2 linked regions of the Oryzias latipes genome follow. The protein of the gene in region 1 binds, or shares a complex with, the protein of each later gene. Links are inferred from orthologs where the notes say so. Each region holds a gene or a part of one and is shown on either strand. Other genes may lie near its edges. The genes, in order: baz1a and chrac1.

Region 1 (3,819 bases):
CTGCACAGTTTTCATAGTAACAGATGCTGCTTTAGTTTCAGTTCACCGTATTTGTCGGTTTGTGACTGAAAATTATAAAGAAATTGGTGTTCTTGTTCTTTAATCTTTGTGTTTTTGGGAAAACTTTTTTTTTTTTTGTTTGTTCTTGTTGTGGTTGGTAGTTTGACCTCCGAAACCTCGGCACCGACACCGAACTGAATCTTGTGTTCCAGGCACATGTGTGAGATCCTGGAGGTGCACTCGCCTTACTCCAGCGCCAACGGAGTGGCGCCCACCAACGGAGCAACGGGCACCAACGGCCACACCGACCCATCTCAGGTGGACACCATCGTCATCAGTGACAGCGATGAGGAGGACGACGCCTTCCAGAGTCCCGTCGTACACGTCAAAGGGTCAGTCAGGCAGATTCTGTGCTGCTATAAAACTCTAAAACCAGCTTTGAAAAATAAATGTTCCTCCTTATTTGAGTTTCGGTTAATGAAATGAGAATCAGATGCTGGTTTGAGTTTGAACTCTGCGTTTGTTTTCCAGGAAAAAAAAGCCTTTGAGTCCTTCTGTGTTCAAATACACCGTGAGGATGATGAGTGACAAACACAGCGAGCCGTTCACCGTCAAAGCCAATCAGATCAGGTGAGGAGCTTCACCTGGAGTTTGTTCTGCCGGTTCAGAGAGGTTCTGTGACCACCGATCCAAATGCAAACTAGGGTTTGCAGTCTGAATGGTCTGGTTTTTGGTAGGCCTGGGCGAAAAATCGATTGGATGAATTAATTAGAATATTTTGTTACAGGCGATTTAAAAAAACAAAAAAAACAACGAAAAACTCAATCGACTCCTGCTGCTTCATCACCGCGATGATCAAAAATCCCACACCGTCACAGCTCAAGTTAAGATCTTGTGGGACACATTTGCAAATGGTACCCATATATACCGTGGAGAAGACGAGGGTTATTAGTTTAATTAAAACCTTAGCCCCCAGATATGAATTGTATTGTTTTAGAAAATGGTGCTACTCTCAAGGTGAATGTTTGTCTCCTTTTAGTCTAGACTACAAAGTGTGACTCAAAACACAGCTGGGACTTTGTTTCCTAGAGTGTGATCATTTTAGTATTCATCCCAGAAATGGGGGCTACATTTGTCTTGCGTTTGATTACATAAAAGCAAAATTTGCTTTAACTTAAGTTGTCTGTCGTTTGTACTTGTTGCTTTCCTTAAGTGGGAAGAATCGGAAATCGAATTTAAAAAAATAAAATCTGAGATCTTATGTTTAGGCCATATCGCCCAGCGCTAGTTTCCAGCTGGTTTAGCGTGTTTCACTGATAAACTGGAGCACTGATGCTTTGGTGTCGGGCTGCAGACGCTCCCTCTAAAATCCAGAGTTTGTTTAGTTTTTTCACGTTGGATAAAAATACGACAAACGTATTCTCCTGAAGAAAACGGAACAAAAGAAGCAAAACCTCAGTTTGTTGTGCAGCAACCGTTAAATGATGTTGCTGGAGTTTTTTTTTTCCTGCTTGTTTTTACTATGAACTGGAGTGAGTGACTCCTCCCCCCGTGGCGTTCCAAACAGGAAGTACGTGCTGAAACAGCTGTGGAGCAGAATAACAATTCTTGCTCTGATACCTTTCTATCAACACGTTCTTGATTATCCTCCTTTTTTCATGATATTTTATTCCGTAGTTTAAGTCATTCCAGTTATAAATTGACCAATCAGATAACTCAAAAGTCCAAAATCCAAAACTAAAAACGACGACAGAATTGACTTAATTTCTATGGATGACATCACACTCGCTCGCCCAAAGTCTCAGATGCAGTCGAGGGTTTTCGCCGGCCTTTTCTCTGAGTTCTTTTGTTAAAATTTAACGCCCCGGTCAAAGTTGCCTGCTGACCTTCATCCCCGTCTTTCAGTCGCAGGAAGTCCACTCTGTCCAGAGAGAAGCTGAAGCTGCTCTACAAGCAGCACTGCGAGCCTCAGAGGGGCTTCATCATCCTCAAGGTGAGGTCAGAGGTCAGGACGGTGACCCGTCGAACCGTCAGAACAGCGGTTCTGAGTGATGTGTCCTCCCGTCTCAGGCCTCCACCGTTAAGAAGTACCAGCTCTCCGAACAGACCTTCTCCCAGTTCTTCCCCGATGAGCCCCCCCAGGTCCCGTTCAGCTCTCCCTCCTCCAACGGTGGAGTGTGCGCCTCACCTGGACAGGTACGCGCACATCCAGATTTGTTCTTTCTATGTCTTGTTGAAGAAATGCAAATGTTTGGAATTTAAAAAATGGATTTAAAAAAAGCAACCTTGATTCATCAAACGAATGAGGTGATTCTTCTGAAAAATGTTATTTTTGACAAACAAAAAATGTTTTGCACATAGTTATTATATTCTTAAAGTCTTGATTGTTCAGTTAAATATGATATTTATGTAAAACCTTATTTTCATAAGCTAAACTTTATTTTGTAATTAAATGTGACAAAGTTTAATTGACTTCAGGATCATATCAAATTGTAAACTTGTGAATTTTGTTTTTTAGCAGCGATGAGTAATTGTTCATTATTAGTTAATGATCCGGTTTCAGCAGAATGGCTGAAACAGAAAGAGAAGCGAAGAAAAGTGATTTTTATCCGAGCTGCAAACTCTTCTTCCTCATTTCAGCTCGGGTGATTGTGGGGGATTGAACCTTTGTGTTTCTTCATCCACCGTCTGCTTCTTCTTCTTGTTGTTTTGCAGCAGAATTATCACGGTTCTGCTCAAACCTGCAGGTCGATGCTCCTCAAACGTTCCATGCAGCAGTAGTGGGGGGGGCTTTAAAGTTTGTTAGGTTCCACAAAATGCAACAAAATAAATATCCAAATGAAGATCAGTGTTTGATGGTCAAAGCGACTTCCTCACAGTTTTTGACGGAACTCTGCCGGCAGGTGGTTCCAAACCCAGATCTTCTGTGGATGTAGACGTTGACGGATCCTTCTGTGATGCCATTTCTGTGGGGAAATGGCATCACTTCCAGAACTTTAGTATGAAGATGGTCCTTAACGACTTCGGCTGGATGTTTGGAATACATTTAGGGCCAGTCTTTACCTCTGTGATGACGGTGCATGACGGGTAAACTGTGTTTTCTCAGCGTGGAGAACTCCTCTTCCATGTATGGAAACGCAAACCTCCAGCGTGCTTCAAGGTTTCCTTCAGAGACTCATTATGGTTCTTCTGTTGAAGAAAAAGCTTCCTTCCGTTTGCATCTCTTCCGTGTCCAGGCCTCTCTTAGCAGTAGATGGGTGAAATTTGGGTTTCACTGGTTTCTGCCAGTTCTGAGCTGATGAGCTTCATGTGTCTTTCATCTTCTGCACAAAGTCTCCTTGGCCAACCACAGCGTCTGCAATCCTCAATGTTTCTTTGTGCTTCTTCAGAAGACCGTGAACATCTGGAAACTCCAGTCTGCTTTGAGATCTTTGTCTGATAGAGACTTAGCTGATGCAGAAGAGCGACCTCCTGTGCTTCATCTCTGCTTTGTGACGTTAGTTTTTACAGAAAGTGTCGCCGTTCTTCATCCCAAAGCATGAGGACCTTAGTTCAGATTCTGATTTTTCAAGAGGTTCGGGTTTTAACTGTGATATCAGAGCAAATGTAAATGTTCTTTCTGGACTTATCTGTCAAATTTGTCTCTTTCTCTCCAAAACATCATCTTTAAATAGTTGAAACTTACTGATATCCCTTCAGTTTAAATGACCGTAAAGGAGGAGAACTTATGCTGATCTTTGTGTTTGCAGGCGAGTCTGTCGCCTCTTCAGGCTATGGAGGAGAAGCTGAAGCTGCTGCAGAAGAGGGAGGAGATGGCTG
Region 2 (4,527 bases), on another chromosome or scaffold:
TTCATATTGTATTGATTGTGTTAAATACAGAGATTTTGTAGCGTCATTGAACATGACGCAACTGCTCTACTTGTAATTCTGAAAAGAGAAAAAATAAAAGAAAAAAAGTTCAATTCTTTTCCTTTTTATGTACATATGTAGATTTTTTTTCTTTTTTTCTGAGAAATATAAATAAAGATGTAATTTACAGCTGACAGTGACATTATTGTATCCTCAAAATTGAATACAAACAATTTCTCAACATTCAGAAAATTTTTATGAGTCACTTGGACATGAAAAAAGTGGGGTTTTATTTTAAAAAATGAATATACATAGGGGATGTTTTTAAGATAAAAATATTCCCCATCTACTGATGGGGTTTGGGACACATCTTCAGCTTCTTCTACAATATGCAGACATTTGTTACCATAACCACGTCGTCTTATAGGTGGTTAAGTCATGTCAGATTACGTCTTAGAACAGGACATTAATGCTGGACAACAAAGCATTTGTGGAGTTGTGTTTTAAGGTGGTAGCGAATGTTTTTGCCGCAATTGTGTGTAATGGATTTCCAAGTTTCACTTCAAGTCCATGTACATATTTTACTAAAGCACGGTAGAAAATATGAAGCCAACTATCAAAGCCAAATAAAATAATCTTTGCTAAAACCGTAAACTTACAGCCAAGTAGATTTGTCTGACGCTGAACAGTGTGAATAGTAACATTTGCTTAAATTAATTTCAGCCATTCTTAAAAGACATTGTGTGGCATCTATAATTGAAAGTCTTCATTTCTAATCTTAGAATTATCTTAGTTTAATATTATTTCCAACAAAAAAAAACAACAACACATGAGCTGATCTTACTTAAAAGCAGTAAATGTCTTTGGGAAAGCCCCTTTTGAGTAAAAAAATATTCAAACAGATTAGCTTATTCCTATAAATCCGCATCTTCCTCTTGCATCTGTTCCAAAGACTTCAAGTAATCCCGAGCCAAGATCTTCTTGGGCAAAATATCTGTCAAATAAGAGAGAAAAAAAGTTAAAATCCACATGTTAACACCTTCATTACCCATCCTTCTAGGGTAAAAGCCGAATGCCTTCCAAGCCATTAGCTCCCTACACATGGAAGAATATGCACCATTTGAGAAAAAAGCAAAGACTCAGTGTTTTGTGATTATCTGTACTTAATTACAAATAGGGATTCTGTTCCCACCCATAATGCAGTTATTAATGGCTTAGAAACCCTGTCCAAACTGTGGATACCCCTAAGACATGAGTAGTGTAATACAGGATTAAACTTTAATACCCCCCCCCCTAGAATATCAATTATTAACTTAACAAAAGGTATACTATCTTAGCTTTAATAAGTTTCTGTAATGTTTTATTAGGATTTCACATTAAAAATGTCCTAGTCAGTTAGGGGGGTAAAGTTCTTGAAAAATTATTTTATATTGTCATGAGTTCAAAGAAGATATAAACTAGCACAGAAATGAGGACATTTGTGTTTTGTAGATTTACTAATTGACTGGTTTACTAAACAAAAGTCTTATAACTGCCATCTTGGTTGACCTGCTTTGCAGCCTGTCTCTGACATCTCTAGTCCTATCAAACTTGACCTTTAGTTTGGAGATGGTTCCGGGCTTGTTTTTGTTTTGTTGTTTTTTTTATAGAGGAAAAAAAGCTTCAAGTTGCCCTCTTGCATGATCTCAACAATCAACAGATCTGTTCAAATGATTACAACAGAAACCAACGTGTCATTAAGCAAGACCAATAACCACAGGTGCTGCCAATTATGCACCTGTGGTTACCTGAAGCTCAAAATAAGTCAGTAACAACTAAGACAATTAACGATTAATTGACTTTATAGATAAATCCATTTATCTTCCTATGATCCAACCAGATTGATGCATCTGGGGCAGGTGGTTAAGCGAATTGATCTATGCCATTATAAAATAATTTTAAAATAAAATAAATTGATAATATACTGGTATTGGAAAATACCATTTGGATTTTACATTATCATATAATGTAAAAATGACTGAGTGGATTGTTGGAAATGATCAAGCAATCATTACAGTCCAATGTGTGGAAACAATTTGATTTTTGCAAAGATGTGTGGCCATACAGAATGGTATGATGTTCTAATAATGTATTATTTTGATGTGGAAAAACAACAGTGGGCAGAACTTTAGGGAAAAAATGTGAATGGATTTGCCCTTAATTCTTGTTTACTTCTTTGTTTAATCACATATGTAATTTATAATACTTGATTACCTTGCAAGAAATACAAGGAATCTGTAAAACTACATCGCCGAGTCACACTGGTTGAAGATTTGGCTAAAGAAGTCAATGAACCGGATTGTTCAAAATGAACCAATATCCACTACGAACCACTTATTATGATATGAATTGAATCATTGTTGAAATGTTTATATGAGCTGTTATGTGAGGTGTGCAGTTAATGTAAGCTGTTTAGCTTTAAAAGTGAAGTTTTGGGAGGTATTGTAAAAGTCCAACTTTTAGACTGACACACAAACGCATCTTCTTCAATATGGCATCGTGTATGGGTTTCCAACACTTTAAGAATAACTCAATACAAAGGGATGGAAGGTTGGTGTCTCACCTGTGAGAAAGTGGAAAGTCTCGGTCTCTTCTGCGGTTTTCGCCAGGTCGCTGTATGACAGCGAGTTCGATTCCTTCCCACAGCCGTTATTGAACGAGGACCGAGCCAGGTGCTGGACGAACAGCTCCTGCAACAACACAACCAAGAGAAATGCTAACGATGCTAGACACTCGAATGAACGGAGCTAGCATGAAACTGCAGCTTACTGTAGCCTTGGTGGTGAGAAAGAGAGCGTCTTGGTTGATGCTGGAGACATCTGGAGAGCTTTTCATGATCAACCGGACTCTAGAGATGGGCAGAGAGATTGTCTTTTTAGCGTCTAACGCGGGGTCGTCTTTTTCTGGACGGTTTTGCGACATTTTTACGAAGCTGTTGCGCGACACAGACAAGCAGAACCACAACTATTGTTGTGGATACGCTGCTGGTTTCTTCCTCGTGTTCATTTGGTGTTTGTCAGCTTTTCAGATGATATAGCGCCATCTACTGGAATGGAGTGGAGTCAAACTTTTTTCTTTTTCTTTTTTTTAAATCATGGATTGTAAAAACAACAATGTAGCTCATTAATATTTCTATTGCGCTTTGATACTAGACTTCAAGTGGTATAAAGCACTACTTAATAAACACCTGTTAAGCTCTTGTGTTTACACCACTGAAGCTCCCAAAGGAATTTTCCTAATTTTCTTCCTTCTAATGCCTAGTTTGTATAATAAACAACTACCATAGAAAAATGATTTAAGACTTTCTTTGGCAAACTGATTACATTTAGGGATGATGTTGAGCTGATTCAGAAATTTGTACGGTGTTGCCATGGAAACCGCCATCAGAATAACTGACCAAAAATATAAACGCAACACTTTTGTTATTGCTCCCATTTTTTAATGGTATGAACTCAAAGATGTGAAACATTTTCCACATACACAAAATAACCAGTTCTCTGAAATATTGTTCACAAATCTGTCTAAATCTGTGATAGTGATGAGCACTTCTCCTTTGCCAAGACAATCCTTCCCACCTCACAGGTGTGCCATAACAAGATACTGATTAGACAGCATGATTATTGCACAGGTGTGCCTTAGACTGGCCACAAGGAAAGGCCACTCTGAAATCTTCAGTTTTGTTTTATTGAGGGGACTCAGACAACCAGTCAGTCTCTGGTGTGACCACCATTTGCCTCATGAAGTGCGACACACCTCCTTCGCATAGAGTTGATCAGGTTGTCTATTGTGGCCTGTGGAATGTTGGTCCACTCTTCTTCAATGGCTGTGCGAAGTTGCTGGATATTGGCAGGAACTGGAACACGCTGTCGTATACGCCGATCCAGAGCATCCCAAACATGCTCAATGGGTGACATGTCCGGCGAGTATGCTAGCCATGCAAGAACTGGGATGTTTTCAGCTTCCAAGAATTGTGTACAGATCTTTGCAACATGGGGCCGTGCATTATCATGCTGCAACATGAGGTGATGTTGTTGGATATACGGCACAACAATGGGCCCCAGGATCTCGTCACGGTATCTCTGTGCATTCAAAATGCCATCAGACGCCATCGCATGTGAGCTTTTGCCCACTTAAGTCGGTTACGACAACGAACTGGAGTGAGGTCGAGACCTCGATGAAGACGACAAGCATGCAGATGAGGTTCCCTGAGACGGTTTCTGACAGTTTGTGCAGAAATTCTGTGGTTATGCAAACCGATTGTTTCAGCAGCTGTCCGAGTGGCTGGTCTCAGACGATCTTGGAGGTGGACATGCTGGATGTGGAGGTCTTGGGCTGGTGTGGTTACACGTGGTCTGCGGTTGTGAGGCCGGTTGGATGTGCAACAGAAACAGCTCTGGTGGACATTCCTGCTATCAGCATGCCAATTGCACGCTCCCTCAAGACTTGCGACATCTGTGGCATTGTGCTGTGTGATACAACTGAAGATTT

The links.
Region 2: baz1a (region 1) and chrac1 share a complex: the UniProt entries of both Homo sapiens proteins name them as parts of the CHRAC ISWI chromatin remodeling complex. The link is inferred for Oryzias latipes from reciprocal best matches to the Homo sapiens genes BAZ1A and CHRAC1.

What each region holds. Positions count from the first base shown.
Region 1 is NC_019880.2:2,513,313-2,517,131, reverse strand, and holds part of baz1a (bromodomain adjacent to zinc finger domain protein 1A), read left to right. Parts: intron 1-212; coding exon 213-392; intron 393-531; coding exon 532-630; intron 631-1,905; coding exon 1,906-1,993; intron 1,994-2,070; coding exon 2,071-2,196; intron 2,197-3,749; coding exon 3,750-3,819. UniProt on the Homo sapiens protein: Regulatory subunit of the ATP-dependent ACF-1 and ACF-5 ISWI chromatin remodeling complexes, which form ordered nucleosome arrays on chromatin and slide edge- and center-positioned histone octamers away from their original location on the DNA template to facilitate access to DNA during DNA-templated processes such as DNA replication, transcription, and repair.
Region 2 is NC_019869.2:23,126,537-23,131,063, reverse strand, and holds chrac1 (chromatin accessibility complex protein 1), read right to left. Parts: upstream 3,049-4,527; 5' UTR 2,962-3,048; coding exon 2,809-2,961; intron 2,730-2,808; coding exon 2,603-2,729; intron 995-2,602; coding exon 915-994; 3' UTR 240-914; downstream 1-239. UniProt on the Homo sapiens protein: Forms a complex with DNA polymerase epsilon subunit POLE3 and binds naked DNA, which is then incorporated into chromatin, aided by the nucleosome remodeling activity of ISWI/SNF2H and ACF1.